Linked DNA regions of Sus scrofa. The protein of the gene in region 2 purifies or fractionates together with the protein of the main gene of each other region. This does not show direct contact. Links are inferred from orthologs where the notes say so. Each region holds a gene or a part of one and is shown on either strand. Other genes may lie near its edges.

Region 1 (6,735 bases), on a different chromosome or scaffold from region 2:
TCTTGTTAGAGGCTCTGGGGCCACAGGATGCTGGTGACAAATGTTACCTGAAAACCAATGACCACCAGGCTGTAAGTAGAGATCTGCTCTGGGCATCATGTGCTCTGGTCTCCACTCTACACAGATCTATGGCTCCTGGTGACCATGACACTAAGATCAGTGGTGCAGACCAGGTAACTTCCTTCCACCCTGACAAGTTATAATCCACCTTCCTTAGGAACAGGGAGAAAGCTGGAGTGAAGGGGACATCTGGCTTCTGAAGGCATTTAAAATGATGCATATAAGAAAATACTGGAGTGCCCTGGTGATACGGTGGTTAAAACAGTGCTTTCAAAGCTGTGGCCCAGGTTCGATCCCTGGTGGGAACTGAGATCCCACATCAAGCTGCAGCACGGCCAGAAAAAATAAATAAATAAAATAGTGACATGATATTAAGTAAAACTGCATAGACAGCACAAATTCAACCATGCCAAGTGTTTACATACCCTATATTTAAAGGACTAACAGGAAAGAGGCATGCCAAGAGGTTAATGCTGGTTGTCCTCCATGGTGGGATTACGGTGGTTGTTTTATTCTTTTTGTCTTTATTCTTTTTTCTTTCTTTCTTTCCTTTTTTTCTTTTTTCTTTTTCTTTTTTTTTTTTTTTTTTTTTTTTTTGTCTTTTTAGAGCCACCCTTGCAGCATATGGCAGTTCCCAGGCTAGGGATCAAATCAGAGGTGCAACTGCTAGCCTACACCACAGCCACAGCAACAGAGGATCTGAGCCACGTCTGTGACCTACACCACAGCTCACAGTGACGCTGGATCCTTAAACCACTGAGTGAGGCCAGGGATCAAACCGACATCCTCATGGATACTAGTTGGGTTTGTTACCACTGAGCCACAACAGGAACTCCTCTTTATGCTTTCCTCTATTTTTCAGATAAACAAAATTTCTTTCATGGAGTTCCCACTGTTGCACAGTGGGCTAAGAAACCAACTGCGGCAGCTTGGGTCACTATGGAGGCGCAGGCTTGATCCTTAGCTTGGCAGAGTGGGTTAAAGGATCCAGCGGAGCCACAGCTACAATGTAGGTCACAGCTATGGCTCATTCAATCCCTGCAGTCATTTAAAAAAAAAAAGAAAGGAAGAAAAGAATTACTTTTGTAAAAAGAAAAATAGGTATGTTTCTTTTTCAATGTAAAATTTGACTGCAGGGCCAAACCTGGAAGTGAAAATTATCTTTTGCAGACTATTCCCTTTGCAGGCCTAGCTTCTGTACTGGGAAAACCTGGATAATAGCTCTGGGCTAAATGGGATAACAGACCAGAGTTCACCAAAAATGTCTGGGGCACTTCCAAATAGCTGTTACAGCAAAATACTGTTACTCTTGCTCCTGACCTGAGTGTTTGTGGTATTTCAATATCATATAACATAATATCAGTAACAAGGATAAGAAGGAGAGAAAGTAAGGACCTAAGTCTATCATCAGACACTGGCAGGCCCCCACTCTGTCATCACTCCCAGCAGAAGAGATGTGTTACTATTGAAAAATACATTCATGACCAGGGCTAAAAGACACCCCAGAACACAACTAGGGTTCACAGGCCCTGAACCCAGTGCCCAGGCCCAATGTCTATACACACAAAGGAGAACTCAACATGAACACACACACAGAAACTTCCTTGTGCACAAATACAAATAACATGCACAGTCATCCCTAAGGCCCAACACAGACACACACCTCTCACACCCAGCATGGATACACACACACCCCCCTGAGAGCCCAATATGGGCACTCACACTCTTCAAAACCCAGCACAGCAACAGACCCCTGAGAACTAAACACGCATATACATCCTTCACAATCCAAATGAGCACAAACTCAAAACCCAACACAGGTGAACACACCCCTCAGAACCCAACATAAGGGCATACACATCTCATATACCACAGAAGCACACACAACCCACAACCCAACATGGACACACACCCTTCAAACCCAACACAGGCACACATTCCCCTCACACCCAACATGGGAGCAGACCCCCCTGAATTCAACTGGTACACAACTGCAAGATTCAACACTGGCATACACACAATCCTCAAAACCACGGATAGACAACCTTCAGAACCAACACACATACACATCTCTCAGAGCCCAAATGGGCACACATATTACTCAGAACTCAAAACAGGCACGCACGCACGCACGCACACACACACCACTCAGAACACAAAACGGAGGCATATATCCTTCAGAAACCAGCATACACTCCCCTCAGACCCATATGGAAATACACACTCCAAACCCAACACATGCAGATGTACTTCAGAACCAACACAAACACACCCCTCACACCTAACACAGACACACTACTCAGACTCATAACCCTCAGACCAACATGGGCACACACACTCCTGAAAACCAACAAGGACTCCTAAGAACCAACATGGGCACTTTCCTCAACCCATCAAGGATGCACAAATCTCAGATCCAACATGAGGACACACACCTCAGATCCAACATAGGCACGCACATGCCTCAGAACCAATATGGACAAACACCTTTTACACCCAAAATGGGCACACATCACTCACAACTCAACTATGCCAACAAGGACACACATCCCTCAGAGCCACCATGAACACACAACTATCAGAATCCAATACAGGCACAAACCCCTCAAACACAGACCCATCACCTACAGACCCTAGCGAAACACACACATATTCCTCAGACACCAACACGCACATACACACCTCAAAAGCAACATGAAAACATACCCCTTAGAACCAAAAGGAGCACACATAACCCTCAGACACAATATAAGCACACAACCTTCAAAACCAAAATGAGCACATAACCCTCAGAAGCAACACATTCACACAGATCCCTCAACACAACTTCGGAACCCACGAGGGGAGCAGACAGCCCCGAGACTCTACACAGGGGCACACACACACCTCAGACCCCACAGGAATAAATACAGCCAGCATCAACACAGACACACAACCCTCAGACACAAAAAGGGCCCACGCCCTAAGACCCACTACGGGAGCACACCCCTCAGAACCTAAGACAGGCTCACAATGCCAGAACCAAGACGTACACGCACCTCAGACCCAACGCGGTAACACCGCAGACGCTGACATGAACACACATCCCTGAGAACCACCTCGACACACACGCCTCAGACCCAACATGGAGCACGCCCCTCAGCACCGACAGGGACACGCGCGCCCCTCAGCACCGACAGGGACACGCGCCCCCTCAGCACCGACAGGGACACGCGCGCCCCCTCAGCACCGACAGGGACACGCGCGCCCCCTCAGCACCGACAGGGACACGCGCGCCCCTCAGCACCGACAGGGACACGCGCGCCCCCTCAGCACCGACAGGGACACGCGCGCCCCCTCAGCACCGACAGGGACACGCGCGCCCCTCAGCAGCTACACTTACACCCTCCAGACCCAACACGGCGACAGCCCGCAGACGCTCACACGCACCCCGCAGCCTGACCGCCGGCACACAGGGCGCCCAGACCCCGGCTAGCAGCCCACACCCGAGAGCCCAGCGACCCCTCCGGGCCCCCAGCGCGCACGCCCCTCAGGGGCCACCCGCCGACGCCCGCCCGCGGCGCAGCGCCGACCCGGCCTGCCCACCCGAGCTCCGCCAGCCGCACGCGGCCCCCGCCCACTCGGCTCCGCACCTGGCGCAGCGCGGCCTCCGCGGCGCCGCCGTCCTGCTGCCGGAGCTGCTCTCGGAAGCGCGCCACCTGCTCCAGCAGCGCGTCCACGAGCGACGGCGCCGCGTCCCCCTCAAGCGCCGCCAGACGGGCGCGCAGGCGCGCGATGAGGGCGTCCCGAGCGGCCAGCTGGTCCTGCAGGCGCCTCAGCCGCTGCCCGGCCTCGTGGTACAGGCCGCAGAGCGCGGCAGCCGCGCGAGGGGCCCCCTCCGGCCCGCCCGACCCCGCGCCCCCGGACGACATGGCTACGGGCCTGTCCGGGAAGACGCGCGCCCGCCGGCAACTTCCGCGCCGGGTCTGGGCGGGCGGCCCCCCTTCCCGGAACTTTTCCCGGCGCGCCCCGCCCCCCCGCGGAACCCCCGGGCCCCGCCCCGCGCCGCGCGTCCAGGCCCCGCCCCCGCCCAGCGCTGGGCCCCGCCCCCGCCCCCGCCCCCGCCCAGCGCTGGGCCCCGCCCCCGCCCAGCGCTGGGCCCCGCCCGTCCCCATTCCGCCTCCGTCCACCCGGGGGTGCCTCGCCTGTCCCAGCCGCCCAGTCGCCCCGCGTGGGGGCAGTTTTTGGAGAGTACGCTCGGTTGAGGAGAGGGGTTGAGCGGTCTCTGATGTAGCTACTGATGGAAGGGACAGGAGCCAGGAATTCCTGTGTGGCTCGACGGGTTGGATCCCATGTCGTCACTGCAGTGGTTCAGGTCGCTGCTGGGGCCCTGGTTCAAAGACGACCCCAAGGATTAACCCTGAAGTTGGGTCCAAATCCCCGGGCTGCAGGCGGGTTGGCCACGTCGGGCAATAGGAAAAGGGCGACTTTCAGGAGTTGAGCCCAGCGAGGTGCCCTACCCACCAGGGCACAGGGCAGTGCCCAGAGCAGGACTCTAGACCCTGCATCCGCCCTCTTTCCTGCCCTATTTCTCCATTCTTTTCCTTCCCCCCAACTGCCCAGACCAATCCTGAAGATTTTTCCGTGACTCTGCAGCTGTTTTTTTTCAAAGTCTGAGTTTGCTCCACCATGATGCCCAACCACACCTGTGGTCTTTCAAAGCGCCCCCCTGCCCTCCCACACTGAATCCTCTGCAGGTCCCTGCCCTACTGCTTGCACTCCCCTCCTCGCCCTGCCCCCTGAGAGCAGCATGGTGTGTTTTTTGTAATCCCTGCCCAAGCTTGGGCTGAGCCCAGGGAAAGCACTCACCAGCCTGCAGAATCAGACAGACAGACAGATGGAGAGATGGACAAACGTCCTCCATTGCAGAGAGACATCGCGTCCAGTGGCTCCTTCCAACCCACAGGCGTGTTGTGTGACTAGAGGATGGAATTTGCAGCACCTGCCCCTGCAAGCCCGCCGTCCACGTGGCTGAGGTCAGGAAAGACACGTTCTTGTCGACTCAAGGAGTGATGGAGAAAACCAGCTGGCGCTGGCATCAGAGCCGGGCGGGTCTCCACTGCTCTAAGTGTAACCTTCCACAGGCCGCTCAGCTGTCTGGTTCTCACCTGTAGAAGAGGCTCCCAGTGTCTCATGTAACATTCTGGGGGTCACAGGTACTTTGAAATTGAGAACCTTTGGATTTGAGATAGGTTGTGTATCATCGGGGTGGCCAGCATCCAAAAAGAATCCCACTCGCGGTGTTCACTCTTGTGATTTCACCTCTGACACTCTGAATAGGGCTGCCCTGTGCAAGCAGGAAGATGCTGCAGAAGTCATGGTGTTTCTCCAGCTAGGTCACTAGAGGCCGTGTAGCTACTACCTTGGCCTCTCTTAGATCACTCGCTCCGAGGAAGCCCCCCGCCACGTCATGAAGACACTCAGGTAGCCCTGTGAAGAGGCCCATGTGATGAAGACATGCAGCTTCGTGCCAACAGCCAGCATCGACTCACCCACAAGAGTAAATGGCCCACCTTGGGAGGATATCCTCCATCCTACCAACACCTTGCCTGGGCCTCATGGGAGTCCCTGAGCCAGAGCCACCCAAATTCCTGACATGTAGAAGTTGTCCGGGAGTTCCTGTTGTAGGGCAGCGGAAACAAACCTGACTAGTATCCATGAGGACACGGGTTCAATCCCTGGTCTCGCTCCGTGGTTAAGGATCCAGCGTTGCCGTGAGCTGTGGTGTAGGTCATAGACGAGGCTCAGATCCCGAGTTGCTGTGGCTGCGGTGTAGACTGGCAGCTGCAACTCCAATTCGACCCCTAACCTGGGAACTTCCATATACTGCAGGTGTGGCCTTAAAAAGACAAAAAAAAAAAAAAAAAGGAGTTCCCGTCATGGCTCAGTGGTGAACAAATGCAACTAGGAACCATGAGGTTACGGGTTCAATTCCCGGCCTTGCTCAGTGGGTTAAGGATCCGGCGTTGCTGTGGCTGTGGTGTAGGCCGGTGGCTGCAGCTCCGATTGGACCCCTAGCCTGGGAACCTCCATATGCCGCAGGAGCGGCCCTAGAAAAGGCAAAAAAAAAAAAAAAAAATTTAAATAAATAGATAAGATGACCATTCAAACTGAGATAAAGATCATGAAAAGCCTTAGAGCTGTTCAATTCAGATTTCTTAAACAACCAGTTTAAGAAAAACATTTGGGTTTCTGAGATTTTTGGATTCCTGAATTGTGGACGAGGGCTGGCAGAATTCCAACAGCAAGTGCCTCACAGGTGTTGTGCAGATTCAAGTTAACAGAGGAAGTACCCCACCCGCTCATATCTTCAGCTAAAATCCGGGCTGAGTCAGGCATGGGGTATTCATGGGCAAAAATTCTAATGGTGGAGACAGACCTCCTTTCCAAAAAAATTACAAAATCAGGAAACTTTTTGTTGGAAAGGAAAGAGGTAAAAATAAAAATCATTTAATAAGGGAGAGTACCTGCTGTGGCATAGCAGGTTAAAGATCTGGTGTTGCCATGCCTGTGGCACAGGTTGCAGCCGTGGCCCAAATTCAATCCCTGGCCCAAGAAATTCCATATGCTGCAGGTGCAGCAAAAAAGAAGAAAGGAAAAGAAAAAGAAAACAAATACGGGGCTAAGAAGGAGAAA
Region 2 (6,735 bases):
CGCATGTTGCTCAAATACAAAGCCAGGGGAAGGAGTTGCTCAGCCATGGTGCTCTACAAGGCCTGAAGAGGAGGGAAAGAAAACCCCATTCCGTTAGCTCGACTTTGATAGGGCTCCTATATACCTGCCTGCAGGAAACCCCAGTGTTTGATCTTGTCATTACCCTAATCAAGAGGCAAAAGATCTTAGTCACCTCTGCTCCCAGGATACTAGCTGGCCCCACAGATTAACTCACACTGGACTGTTGTAAGTTACATCACTTTTAAAGATTAGTCTAAACAAGAGAAGGAAGGCGGGGAGTGGGTACTGAGGAGGAGGGGAATAACCCGTGTTTTCAGTAACGTCTGTCAGGGAGCCAAGCCTGTCTGTCAGCAACAGGTACTGTGTCTAGTGACCAACCCAAGCTCCCATCTCACTTCGATGCTGCTCTGGGGCAGCCACTGGATTTTAGGAGCCCTGAATGCAGTTACAGGCACAACGGAGTCCTGACGAGCCTGTTTTCTCTCCTAAGAGCACCACCAAGCAACCCTGCTCTTAGGCAAAGTCTTGCTTTGCCTCTTTTAAGCGCATCCCCACCTCCCCACTGCAAAAGGCAGTAAATATTTTGTAAAAAGTCCTGCAATTTTATGCTGCCACCTAGGCTGCTGATTAGAATTTCCTCTTCAGTCCCAAAGAGAAATACTTATAAAGTGCTTACTTATAAAATGTACTATAACATACAAAGCATTAAACTGAATGTTTTACAACCAACAAAAAAGCCTATTTCCAGCAAGATGCTTTGCAATTTTACGAGCCATCAGCCATCTTTCAGAACCCCTCCATTGAACTTTACAACATCAGAATAAGAAATTAATAATAACAATATGGCAATAATAGAATGATAAATTCCACACTGCCAAGAGCAGATAGTGGAGCTCAATTACATCAACTCAACTGCCAACCAAATTTTATTATCGTCCTCCAGGTACCAACCCTCAGATGCATTTTCCACCCTGTCTGCACCTGATATTGTCAAGCACAATACACTGGTGGAAAGAAATAAAAGTCTGAAAGCAGACCAAGAAAGACGTTTCAGACAGAGGGGCCACTCGGGACAAATGAAAGAGAAGGAGGGCAAAAACCAGCATTTCCAACCCAAGGCAACCATGTGGAATGATGCGAACTGACATAAGGCGGGATCTCTAGAGCACAGAGCAGTGCGGAGCACCAGCTTGCAGTCACTGACCCTTAGTAGGGTGCCCTGTCATCCATCCTGATTTCCAAGAGAAAGACAAAGACAGTTTCAGAATATCTACAGAGGCCCTAGGAAGTTTCCCTGCAGTTGCTTTTTTTTTTTTTCCTTCATTATTATTAAAGTAGACTTGATTTACAACATTTCATCAAGTTGTGTTGCAGAGCAAAGTGACCCAATTACACACACTTCCCTGTGCTGTACAGTAGGACCCCACTGCCCACCCATTCCAAATATAGCAGTTTGCATCCCCCAAACCCCCAAATCCCACTCCTGCATCATACCATTGGCCAGGGCAAGCCTCTAGTTGAGATAGAAGTTAAACTAACCTAAGAGGGAGGCAAAAAACCTAGATTATAGGAGAGCCAGTGCTGGGTGGGTGGAGGCACCCTTGATAAAATGGTCTAAGTGAGCATGGGCCACTCAAAGGGGAGAGGTGGCTTGGATGACCCCATGGTTGCCTCTGAGGAGTTTTCTGGTGGTAGATTTAGATCGGGATTCCTAATCTGACAGCTGTTGAAGCCCGGAAAAAGTCATTCTCAGGGTCAAATGGCAATCTCTCCTTTGATGTCAGACATTCTCTGCAGGTGGAATTAAACAAAATCATGGCAGGACCACAGACACAGAGAAGGGACAAAAACATCACACACACTTCCCCTCTGTGGCATGGCAAAAGTTGCTTTCACGATGTCATTCACATGTCCATCCATCACTCACCAAGCACCACCTGACCACATATGACCACTGCCTGACCATCAAGACCCAGGCTTGATGCTGAGGCTAAAGATCAAAGACGCCCTTCTTCCTGGGCTTGAAATCTCATGACCATCTAGGTCTCTTGCTACAGCAACGCAAGTACTGGTCCTGCTCAGGTAGGTCCCATGTCATGCAGGGGCAGGGCTCTGCCTGGAAGCCAAGTCTTCCAACACCTGCCCCCTTGCTCAGCTCACAACACCACACCTGTGGTTGCAGTGCCTGCTGCTCCCACATGGGAACAGACAGGCAAGAGCAAGGTCTGAAACAAGGTGTTGCCTCTTTTTGCTTCTCAGACTCTCCTATTATTTTCCGCACCTAGGATCATTCAGCAAAGCTCTCAAATAGTAAGAGCTGCAATCATAGGCCAGACATGCAAACGTCAATATTTCATAGCCCAGTGTCATCTCATTCATTGGTTCAACCTCGAATGGCCTGCAGAATTGCCTCCTTAAAAGAAATCAAAACTCACTGCCCAAGTGCCCAGAACTTGGCCTTCTCCGTACTTATAATTAAAGAATAATCTGACCCATGATAAAGAATTTCTGAGCTATGATTGTAATGTCCTTATAGGCAAAGATAAACAATACTGCCCTTAACATTTCTTGCACCCTTCTGTTACCTTCACTGACTTTTTTCATCCAAATCACCCCATCGAAGTTTTGGAAAGTACCCCCCTCATTCAAAAATTGTATTAAGAATTGGAAAAAAAAAAAGTAAGATACACCTTAGACACGGAGAATGAAGCAGTAACTGGCTGCTTAACCATCTGGAAGAGTGGGGCTGTAGTCCAGAGAACTCTTAAACAGTGATTCTCCCAAAAGGTGGCCCTGAGACACTTGACCAGAGCAGCTTTCCAAGGAAAGAAGATCAGAGGCAGGGAGAACTGAAAACAAAGCGGTCTCAACAAGAGCTGAGCTCCTTCCTTACTTAATACTACGGCTTTCCTGAAAGGCCAGGTGGCAGGATGTGGGACGACCCCGGCTGACAAAGGCAGTCTGACTCGGGGGTAGGGGCCTGCAGATGCTTTAAACTGGAGCTCCCCCACGCCCTCCCCCCAAAGGCAAGCCGAAGACCCGCTGCTACATACATACTTCTCTGACGCTGCTGAGAGTCTGCAAGCGGTCCCCAGAAAGCTTAGCGGTCTGGGCCCCCCTGACCCCCACCCCCCAAGTTTTGCTGCCCCTGCGACCTCCCACTCCTTTGGGCTGGTGCTGCACAAACTGGAAAGCGGCCACAGCAGTTCTCAAGGTCTACGTGGCCTTAAGCATGCAGCGCTTGATTCCAAAAAAAAAAAAAAAAAAAAAAAAAAGACAAGCCGAAGGGCAAAGCACCAACGACAACCCGGACCAAGCGGTCCAGGGCAACGCTCCCCAGGCAGCTGCCATTCAAGTTCTCCGCATTATCTGCAAGGAACAGCTGGCTGGAGGAATCCATGCTGTCACTCCAACATCTGGCGCGGCCACCTCCACTCCCAGCAGTTCAGAACCAACAGTGGCACAAACGGCCCACAAACTACCCTCCGGGACAGCTGCAAACCCAGGGCCAGGTCGACCAGGCCAGCCCCGCGGGTGGCTGCCCAATTCGCACCCGCAGCTCTCGCCCCGGGATGCCCGTGGCGGACGGCGCGGGGATACGGCGGTTACCTCTCCCGGCCGCGCGATCCGCTGCCGAAATCCCAAGTCCAAGTCAGGACAGGCGTGCGCCGCAGCCTGGGGTCACGGTAGGGGTCGGATGCAGGCGGCGCCCCATGGACGCCCCGCTCGGGGCTCGCTTGCTGGCCGCCGGCCGGGGGTGTGGATCTCGCCAGCTGCCGCCGCGGCTGTTCTCCGGACAGCCGCTCGAGCCGCTCCGCCCCCGCGGCCTCCTAGTTTGCAGCGCTTGGCCGCCACTAAGGCTGCAGACTGCCAGTTCTCTTTTTTCCCTTTCTGTTTTACCGCCCGCGGACAGCAGGGGATTTCCACCCAGGGACTTTCCAGTCACGTGACGCCGGGCCGGGCTCCCGGAGCCCGAGCGGATGGCAGCATTGTTGGGTCTCCCGCCGCCAGGGGGCGCAGGGGGCGCAGGAGGCGCAGGAGGCGAGCCGCGTGCCGCCCCGCCCCGCCCCGCCCCGCCCCGTCCGCCGCCCCGCCCCGTCCGCCGCCCCGCCCTCCGCCCGAGAAACTCCTGCGCCCCGCCCCGGGGTGTCCCCGCGTGAGTCACCTGGGCATTTCGGAAGCAGGGCTCAACGTCACATCCATGTGGAAATCGCAGTGATGGGAACTGGAAATGAAATAGGTTCTTTTTCTCAGCCGTTTTTCTGCAGAAAATCATCAACTGTGAAGAACACGAAGGGAAATCATAGAGAAAACCCTAAAAACCACCCTGGCGCCCAGGACGGCGGGCCTCCGCTGGGTTTGCAAAGCTTGGGCTACGCACGTGATGTGCTTGTAGGGGAGAGCCCTACGCTGGGCCTCAGGGGGGGATTTCAAGAAAAAGAGGCAGCCAAGTCCCTTGGCCCCAGACCCAAGCTAGTGGGATGCAGTTCGGAAACCTCCTGGCCCTGAAATTCGCAAGGGCAAAGCCAGTCAGATCAAATTAGGAACCAGAACCACTACCAACCTCGTCTCTCACTTGACTGATTTCTCTTCTCTATTTCTGCACATCAGGGGCCCAGGTGACCTCACATTCAGGTAGCATTTCAGTTTAGGTGCTTCTAGTCTGTTACTGTCCTTGCCACGTCCCCTGTAAGGCCTTACTGGGAGTCTTCTTAGGGGTCTTGATAAATAGTCCACCCCAGGATGCCAATGGCTGATAATACTTATTACCCCCCCCTCCTTATTAAATACCACGCTGGCCTCACTGTCTTCACGGGGGGGGGGGGGGGGAGTGCACTGTGGAGACAGGTGCAGGCTCCCTGGGCAGTGTGGGGACATGAACTGTGGAGGAAGGGGCTCTAGGCCCTTTAAATGCCTTGGTGTCCTTCTTGCCTCATTTTCTAGAATGACTAAGCTAGAGCCAGACTGAAGTATTCTCTATCACTGTCTGTTAGGTATACTTGTCAGGCCATGTATCTCAAGTTTTGAGCTAGAAAACTATACTTCCTTCAGTAAGGACCCAGAGAGGCTAGGGTGGGGGCTGGGTGGAGGGTGGCACTTTTTTAACGGCATTTAGAGCAGAGAGTAATGGACAAGGTCCTGAGACTGGTGCTGGTATTTGAAACCGATGGTTGGGATTTTTTTTACAATTTCAGCCCTAGTATCTGTCCTCTTCTCATTCACAAATGTTTTCAGCTGCCAACACTCAAACAATGGGTAGTCACGCTAGTATAATAATAATAATAATAATAATAATAATAATAGTAATAATGGGGATGATGATAATGATGTTATTTATCAAGTCCTTGCTATAGGCCAGGCTGCAGGTTAAGTATTTGCAAGGGATTCTGACATTTAAACCTCACAACTCCACTTTGCAGATAAAGAAACTGAAGTTCAAAAGCTTAAGCCATTTGCCTGGAAGTCTATACAATCAGCCAGTGGCAGAGCTGGGCTTGGCACTGGGCCTGCCTTACTCCAAAGCCCATACTGTTTGGTCCCAACTATGAATCGTCACTCTCAGAGAAGATCCTACAAGATTTAAAATCTCAGGGCTGCTATTTGCACCCTGGTCCCAGCAGTTACTTAGCCAAACATGGACCCCAGGCTGGAAGAGAACATGGACCTGGGAACCAGACGGGCCTTGGTTCCATCCTCAGGAAAACTTCCCCAGCCAGTTGAGATGGTGAAAGTTGATGTATTTAAAAGAACACCCTCAATCCTCAGACCACTCTCCCCTTGTGCTCCTTTGGAAACAGAATTTGCCTGCTCTTGTTGATCTTCGTCTGGCTCTGGCCCCTCAGCTCCTGTTGCTTTCATTGCCCCTTTTTTGGTTTCATGCCGCCTGGTTTCATGAGTCAAGTATGCGGTACCAGGGGTAACAAGCTGACAGACCGTGGTCATATCTGTCACTTCCAATTGCCCCGACGTTGTGACTCTAACATCTTGCCTGGCAGGATTTGTGACAAGGTAATAGCAATCAGAGGCAGTGGTGGTTGGTTACCCTCGGTTTAGCTCTACCCCCATTTTCCACGCATCTGCCACTGGAGTGATGACCTCTGTGAGGACGAATTCTTAGTCCTGCTCTTCTCTAGTTTTTGCTGTTTTTCCTGCCCTATAAGTTAGAGCCCTTTCTGATACATAACCATGGGCAAGATCTGTAAGCATTTTCTTGGTGGTAGATCAGAAATGAAGAGTGGAAGAGGCAGGCAGAATGTAGAAGGAGAGGTTCTTTTTTTTTCTTTTCTTTTTTTTTTTTTTTTTTTTGTCTTTTGCTATTTCTTTACGCCGCTCCCGAGGCATATGGAGGTTCCCAGGCTAGGGGTCGAATCGGAGCAGTAGCCACCGGCCTCTGCCAGAGTCACAGCAACTCGGGATCCGAGCCGCGTCTGCAATCTACACCACAGCTCACAGCAACGCCGGATCGTTAACCCACTGAGCAAGGCCAGGGATCGAACCCGCAACCTCATGGTCGGATTCATTAACCACTGCACCACGATGGGAACTCCAGGAGAGGCTCTTTATGGGAAAGGAGGAATCACATTTGGGGAAATCGGTGGAATGAATTGAAACCAAAGAGATATACAAGCCTTACAAGCGACTTTAATTTCCGATCTTATCAAGATGAAGAGAACTCTGCAAAGAGAAAGGAATGTCAATATCAAGAGGACACAT
Region 3 (6,635 bases), on a different chromosome or scaffold from region 2:
GCTTGCTTTGTTTTCTCTCACGCTCCCCATCTCTGCTACCTGGCTCTGTGCAACGTACAGAGTAGTAGTAATAATAATAATATTAACCCAGCAACTATTGCAAACTCACTGTGTGCCCAGCACTATGTTAAGCACTTTTTAACATGTATTAGCTCGTTTAATCTTCACATCAGTCCTCTGAGTTAGGTACTCTTATCCTCCGATTATAACTAAGATATTTGAAGTGTCTTCCTTGAGGTATATAATTTTGGACTGGATTCACACCCAGGTAGTCTGGCTGCACAGCCCATAGCATAATTTGACCTTCTCTGCTCTGCTGCCTCTTTCAACACCCGTGGTTATCAAATGAATTGAGGCTTTCTGCATGCTTTTCATTGGGGTCTCCCAGCCTTTTTAGGATCCCCAGCCTGATGTGGATGAGTGGAGGCCTGTGGGGGGAGGTGGGGCCATAGATTAGTTCACCGCCATGGTTTGTTATCCAGAATATTAAAGCCAGCTTCTCTCCAAAGAACCTCAGGGCAAAATGCTTGGAACCGGACCTGCCGCCGCCACCACAGCGACCACCACTTCCAGCAACGTGAGCGTCCTGCAGCAGTTTGCCAGTGGCCTGAAGAGCCGGAATGAGGAGACCAGGGCCAAAGCTGCCAAGGAACTCCAGCACTATGTCACCATGGAGCTCCGAGAGGTTGGAGCTGCTGCGGTTTGGGGCCCTTCATCATGGCCTTTTGGGGCTGCATGTGCCATTCCTGGTTTAGATGCCTCTTGACAGCTGATTGAGGGCTCAGAAAAGGCAAAGATTCTAGTTTAGAAAGGCACCCAATTTCTCAGGTCTGTAGAATGGGCAGGTTCCTTTGCCACAGTTCCACATTTCTGTGGCATTTCCTTTCTTGTGATAGTTTAGGAGTCAGAGTAGAATTGGCTGTTCCGGGAGTTCCTGTCATGGTGCAGCGGAAACGAATCCGACTAGGAACCATGAAGTTGCGGGTTCGATCCCTGGCCTCACTCAGTGGGTTAAGGAACCACGTTGCCATGAGCTGTGGTGTAGGTGGCAGACATGGCTCGGATCTGGCGTTGCTGTGGCTGTGGTGTAGGCAGCGGTTACAGCACTGGTTCAACCCCCAGCCTGGAAACTTCGTATGCCTCAGGTGTGGCCCTAAAAAGACAAAAAAAAAAAAAAAAAAAAAAAAGAAAGAAAGAAAGAAAGAAAGAAAAAGAATCGGCTGTTTCTTTTAATTTTTTTCTTTTTCATGCCACATTCCAGGCTTTTGAATCTTTCTGCCTGATAACATGGGTTGGGATGGGTTTGAAGAGTTGATTGCTTGGGGCTTTTCAAATAGAGGCCAGACCTGAGGTAGGGACAGTGTCTTTTTTGGCCTTGTACCCAGGCTACCAGGTAGAATCTAGGACAGGACATGGCCTCCCCTTGAGTAGATACACAGTAGGTATTGGTTAAGTAAACAGATGATTGCTCTACGGTTTAAAACAACAGAGATGGTCAGCGGCTGTGTCGTCTTCGGTTAACTGCACCTGCTGGCCACCTCTTGGGTTCTGGTCTTCGAAAGGCACCCCACGCCCCCACCAGCAGGGAACATTAGACATTGCCCTGAATACGTCTTCCTTTACAGATGAGTCAAGAGGAGTCTACTCGTTTCTATGATCAGCTGAACCATCACATTTTTGAACTGGTTTCCAGCTCAGATGCCAATGAGAGGAAAGGCGGCATCTTGGCCATAGGTAAGGACAGGGTCTCTGGCACAGTAAGAACTGGACATCCAGGACTGTGTCCTTTGTGTCCACTGCACTCCGTGTCTACTACTTACTGGATCCTCACTTCATATTTGTTTAATGAATTCTAAGGAGACTTGTGGCTTTCAGTTGCTTATTCGGCTATTAATTTTAACCACAGTCCTGGGCAAACCCAAGGGCAAAGAGGGTTTTTTTCAGACATGGAGCCTCAGAACCACTAAGCGACTTTTCCAGGGCTGGTGCGCCAGAGCTGAGGCTGGAAGTCAGCTTTCTTCCTGCTACCCTTGTTGCATTTTGCAGGCTCTTGTTTCTCTCTAGAGCCAAGTTTGGCAGAGCAGAGCTCAGAAATGGAAAAGTAGAGTTGAGGGGACTGTGAATAAAAGGCAGATAATTTCAGCTCATGGGGACTGGTTATCCATCCTGTGAATTATTATTCAGTCCTGGTTTGTTTTCCTTTTCTTCTTGGGAAACCTGTATATGCTAAAATATTAAGATGAGATCATTTTGCTTTATCTAAGTAGTTCTGGTCCAAACATTAAGTCTGTTTGTTAAAATGGAATGGAAATTATTTGCCTCCTCACCAGCTGGAAATTGCAGTCTGTGCTTAGAGTAGGAGGAAGGGGTCCCTCGCTAGCTTTCCTCTGAAGACAGTGGACCTCCGTGGACCGCACATGCCCGACTCATCCTCTGCCTTCCTCTCTTTGCCAGCCAGCCTCATAGGAGTGGAAGGCGGGAATGCCACCCGAATCGGAAGATTTGCCAACTATCTTCGGAACCTCCTCCCCTCCAATGACCCCGTTGTCATGGAAATGGCATCCAAGGCCATTGGTCGCCTCGCCATGGCAGGAGACACTTTTACTGCAGAGTATGTGGAGTTTGAGGTGAAGCGAGCCCTGGAGTGGCTGGGTGCTGACCGAAACGAGGGCCGGAGACACGCAGCTGTGAGTACCTGTGGAGCCGTGGCCTCGTGTCAGGTCCTTCCCACCATGTGCCCAGGTCCCTGAAAGGCAGAGAATGAGAGCGGATGCTCCGGGCAAAGGCCCTGTGCTTCTTGGTTCAGGGTCTGTCCCGAATCCCTTTCTCTCTTTACCCTGAGCTCCCCACCTGCAGAGGAAACTTAATGTTCTCTTTATTGCTTGAGAGGCAGCCCTCTGTGCAGTGCTTCTTCTCACCTTGACTTTCCAGAATCCAGATTGCCTCCCAAGGAGTTCCCTCATGGGAACAGCAGGTTAAGGATCCAGCGTTGTCGCTGCTACGGCTCTGGTTACAGCTATGGTGCAGGTTTCATCCCTGGTCCCCAGGAACTTTTGCATGCCATGGGTGCTGCCAAAAATGAATACATTTTTATTTATTTATTTATTTATTTTTGTCTTTTTGCTATTTCTTTGGGGCCGCTCCCACGGCATATGGAGGTTCCCAGGCTAGGGGTCGAATCGGAGCTGTAGCCACTGGCCTACACCAGAGCCACAGCAACGCGGGATCCGAGCCACGTCTGCAATCTACACCACAGCTCACGGCAACGCCGGATCGTTAACCCACTGAGCAAGGGCAGGGACCGAACCCGCAACCTCATGGTTCCTAGTCGGATTCATTAACCACTGCGCCACGATGGGAACTCCTATGAATACATTTTTAAAAAAGAGAGAAATAAAAATGCCTGTCAAGCAGAAGGCAGCCCTCAGCCATAGACAAGTGAGGAAGCCACAAGCCATGAGGCTTCCAGAGCCTCAGCAGCTGTGCTGTCCTCAGGACCCCTCCGTCCAGGGCTCCACGTTGGTGGGAACGTGGGGAGCGGGGCTGAAGGGAGGAAGGAGCAGAGGAAGTTGGTGCCCGATCCCCACATTCCCTGGTCCGCCTCTGCCCAGGCCTTGCCCATCTGCGTTTCGGTCCTTTGTTGATTGGTTGGTACGTGGTCCAGACTTCCTCTTTCCAGCAGGCTGTCCTGCATTGGAGGGAGTGGTGGCTTTCCAGCCTCTTCTACACACACATCCTCATTGCTCTCTGAGGCCCGTCCCTGAAAAAGGCTGCTTTGATGGGCTAGGGATCCAGGCTGTGAGATGGGGGAGGATCTGTCCATGGGAGAGAAGCTAGGAATGAATGTGGTGGGAAGGCATCAGCTGGGTCCCTTCCAGTCGGGTCCCTCGTTAGGGGGCTGCCCCAGGAGCAGGGAGCCTGCCTGGGGGAGGGGCCCGCACTCGGACTCGGGTGCCACCTCCTAACTGTGACGTGGGGCACGCTGGGACCCTCAGTTTTTCCATGGTCAAATGAAAATATAGCAAGATGAAATGTGAAACAGGATTATCGTTCATTCCGTAAATGTTTCTTGAATACCTGCTCTATTCCGGGCATGTTCCAGGCTGTCCACGGAGCAGTGTACAAAGCATTAAAGGCGGCTCCTTTCAGCGCTCGTGTTCTAAGGCCACATGCCTTCTGTTGCTAAGCACCCTGGGACAGTGAACCCTGAGATGTCTGATAGCTTTACTTCCCTTCCTTGGTCCCCAGAATTTCCGAGCTAGAAGAGTAGGCAGGTGTGCTCTTTTCCTAGCAGATGTCGGCTCTGGGGTGACACGAGGCTGTACCCCTGAGAGACTAGACCTCGTTGATGCAGATGGAAGGTCTCCGTGTGTCTCTCCTCCCAGGTCCTGGTCCTTCGTGAGCTGGCCGTCAGCGTCCCCACCTTCTTCTTCCAGCAAGTGCAGCCCTTCTTTGACAACATTTTTGTGGCTGTGTGGGACCCCAAACAGGCCATCCGGGAGGGAGCTGTCGCCGCGCTCCGTGCCTGTCTGATCCTCACCACCCAGCGAGAGCCAAAGGAGATGCAGAAGCCGCAGTGGTACAGGGTGAGGAGACGGATCCATTCCAGTCACCAGCCCAGCACGTTTGCCTGGAGGCACACCGAGCCCGAGGAGCAGCAGCAGGCCCCTTGCCACAGAGCAAGCGTCATGTCTGTTTTGGTCTTCAGTAATTTTTTATGCGCAATATGAATGAATAGTTATTTTATTTTATTTATTTATTTTTTCTTGTCTTTTTTAGGGCTGCTCCTGCGGCATATGGAGGTTCCCAGGCCAGAGGTCCAATTGGAGCTGTTGCTGCCAGCCTATGCCAGAGCCACAGCAACGCCAGATCCGAGCCATGTCTGCGGCGTACACCACAACACCCGATCCTTAACCCCTGAGCTAGACCAGGGATCAAACCTGCAATGTCACGGTTCCTGGTCGGATTCGTTTCTGCTGCACCACGACGGGCACTCCAGTTTTTTGTCTCTTGAGTAGAGATGGTTATGATGTCTGCCTCGCGGTATTGCGAGGGCTGACGCCAAAGGAAATGAGGGAGCTCCATGAGCTGACACCATTGGTGACGCTGGCACGGGGCCCCAAGCAGCCACAGCGACCTCAGGACCCCGTGTGGCTGGGTGGGCCTGCTCTCCCGCTCTGGGCAGTGGGTGACTCGGGCATTCTGGGTCTCCCCGTAGCACACGTTCGAAGAAGCAGAGAAAGGGTTTGACGAGACCTTGGCCAAGGAGAAGGGCATGAACCGGGACGACCGGATCCACGGAGCCTTGCTGATCCTCAACGAGCTGGTCCGCATCAGCAGCATGGAGGGAGAGGTGAGTCACGCGGCGGGGCCGGGCCTGGGCCGCCCCGCGCCGCTGTGCCAGCGCCTCGGAGAGCCGCCGTGCTGTGGGGGGAGCAGGCAGAAGACCAGCCGGTGCGATCGGTGCGATCGTGTTGGACGGTGGCGCGTTCTGGGAAGAAATGAAGTGGAGGGTCTCGGGGAGAGGGCGCGGCTCCCTGCCTGGGGGGTGGCATTTGGGCCAAGACCATGTGACGTGGAGGACTGGCCTCACAGCGCACGCGCGCGAGGGCAGGGAGATCACTGTCTTCCAGGCAGAGGCTTTGAGCTGGAAGAGAGTTTGACACGTTCAAGAAAGAAGGGCCGTGGGGCTGGTGCACCCAGCATAGGAGAGGGAGGGGGCCCGGGGTCGGGGGCCTCCTGGCTCCTGGTCGACGCTGGGTCTCGTGCTCCTCGCCGAGAGACTCGCCCAGAGGATGCTGTGACGGCGGCTGTTTTTAACGGTCATCGGCTCCTTGCGGGGAAGGGCCCGTGGAGAGGCAGGCAGGGAAGCAGGGAGGTGAGTGAGGAGCTCTCTTGGCTGGAAAAGCAGCTGCAAAGATGGGTTTACAGGTGCAAGGGCTGTGTTAGGGAACTGGCCCGAGACAAGTCGGGGCGGGGTGTGGGAGAGGCTGGGAGAACCATCCGACTCCAGTGCGCATCGGACCCTGAGTCTGCAGGAGAGGGAAGCAAGGTTGGCCGGAAGCCTCTCAGTCCACCCTGCAAAGCCATCGTAGGGTCCTGAGTGAGGGCGGAGCCCCTGGGAGGTGGGCTCAGAGGAGTACCGCCGCCAGGGCCAGGGCTCGTCCGGGAGGGTCTCAGAAGCTCCTGCACAGCCTCTGCGTGAAGGGGGAAGGTCGTAGTGGCTGTGAGCAAAATGGGATGTCATCTGACTCGGGTTTCTCAAGGCTCGCTGTTCTGTTGGAGGTGGATCATGGAGGGGTCAGGGCTGAGGCCAGGAGGCTAGTTAGGAGGGAACTGCAGCGGTTTCAGCAGAGGGCTTTGTGGCTTGGACCAGAGCAGGAGCTGTGGGGATGCAGGGAGCAGCTGGGTTCTGCATTTGGAAAGTCAGTGGGAGAGAAAGAAGGTCAAGGTTTAGGGCCCGAGCAGCTGGAAGGATAGAGCTGCCGTTTACTGAGATGGGACAGACAGGTTCAGGGTAGCAGGTCAGGAGTCTGCCTCTGAACGCGTCAGGTTCAAGGTGGCTGTTGGGAGTCTGAGCAGCAGTACTGAGTAGTTTGGGGAGAGATCTGAGCGAGAGATTCGGATTCGGGTGC

The links.
Region 1: the proteins of TNFAIP3 (region 2) and TNIP2 purify together in Homo sapiens (affinity purification with western blotting; 5 studies listed by BioGRID and IntAct, with this or other methods). This does not show direct contact. The link is inferred for Sus scrofa from reciprocal best matches to the Homo sapiens genes TNFAIP3 and TNIP2.
Region 3: the proteins of TNFAIP3 (region 2) and MTOR purify together in Homo sapiens (affinity purification with western blotting, with the first as the bait; 3 studies listed by BioGRID). This does not show direct contact. The link is inferred for Sus scrofa from reciprocal best matches to the Homo sapiens genes TNFAIP3 and MTOR.

The regions. Positions count from the first base shown.
Region 1 is NC_010450.4:1,550,600-1,557,334, forward strand, and holds the start of TNIP2 (TNFAIP3-interacting protein 2), read right to left. Parts: upstream 4,079-6,735; 5' UTR 3,972-4,078; coding exon 3,693-3,971; intron 1-3,692. UniProt on the Homo sapiens protein: Inhibits NF-kappa-B activation by blocking the interaction of RIPK1 with its downstream effector NEMO/IKBKG.
Region 2 is NC_010443.5:26,485,791-26,492,525, forward strand, and holds the start of TNFAIP3 (tumor necrosis factor alpha-induced protein 3), read right to left. Parts: upstream 3,982-6,735; 5' UTR 3,631-3,981; intron 3,618-3,630; exon of another isoform or gene 164-3,617; intron 63-163; 5' UTR 48-62; coding exon 1-47. UniProt on the Homo sapiens protein: Ubiquitin-editing enzyme that contains both ubiquitin ligase and deubiquitinase activities.
Region 3 is NC_010448.4:71,404,391-71,411,025, reverse strand, and holds part of MTOR (serine/threonine-protein kinase mTOR), read left to right. Parts: intron 1-509; 5' UTR 510-523; coding exon 524-685; intron 686-1,625; coding exon 1,626-1,734; intron 1,735-2,454; coding exon 2,455-2,687; intron 2,688-4,385; coding exon 4,386-4,586; intron 4,587-5,218; coding exon 5,219-5,353; intron 5,354-6,635. UniProt on the Homo sapiens protein: Serine/threonine protein kinase which is a central regulator of cellular metabolism, growth and survival in response to hormones, growth factors, nutrients, energy and stress signals.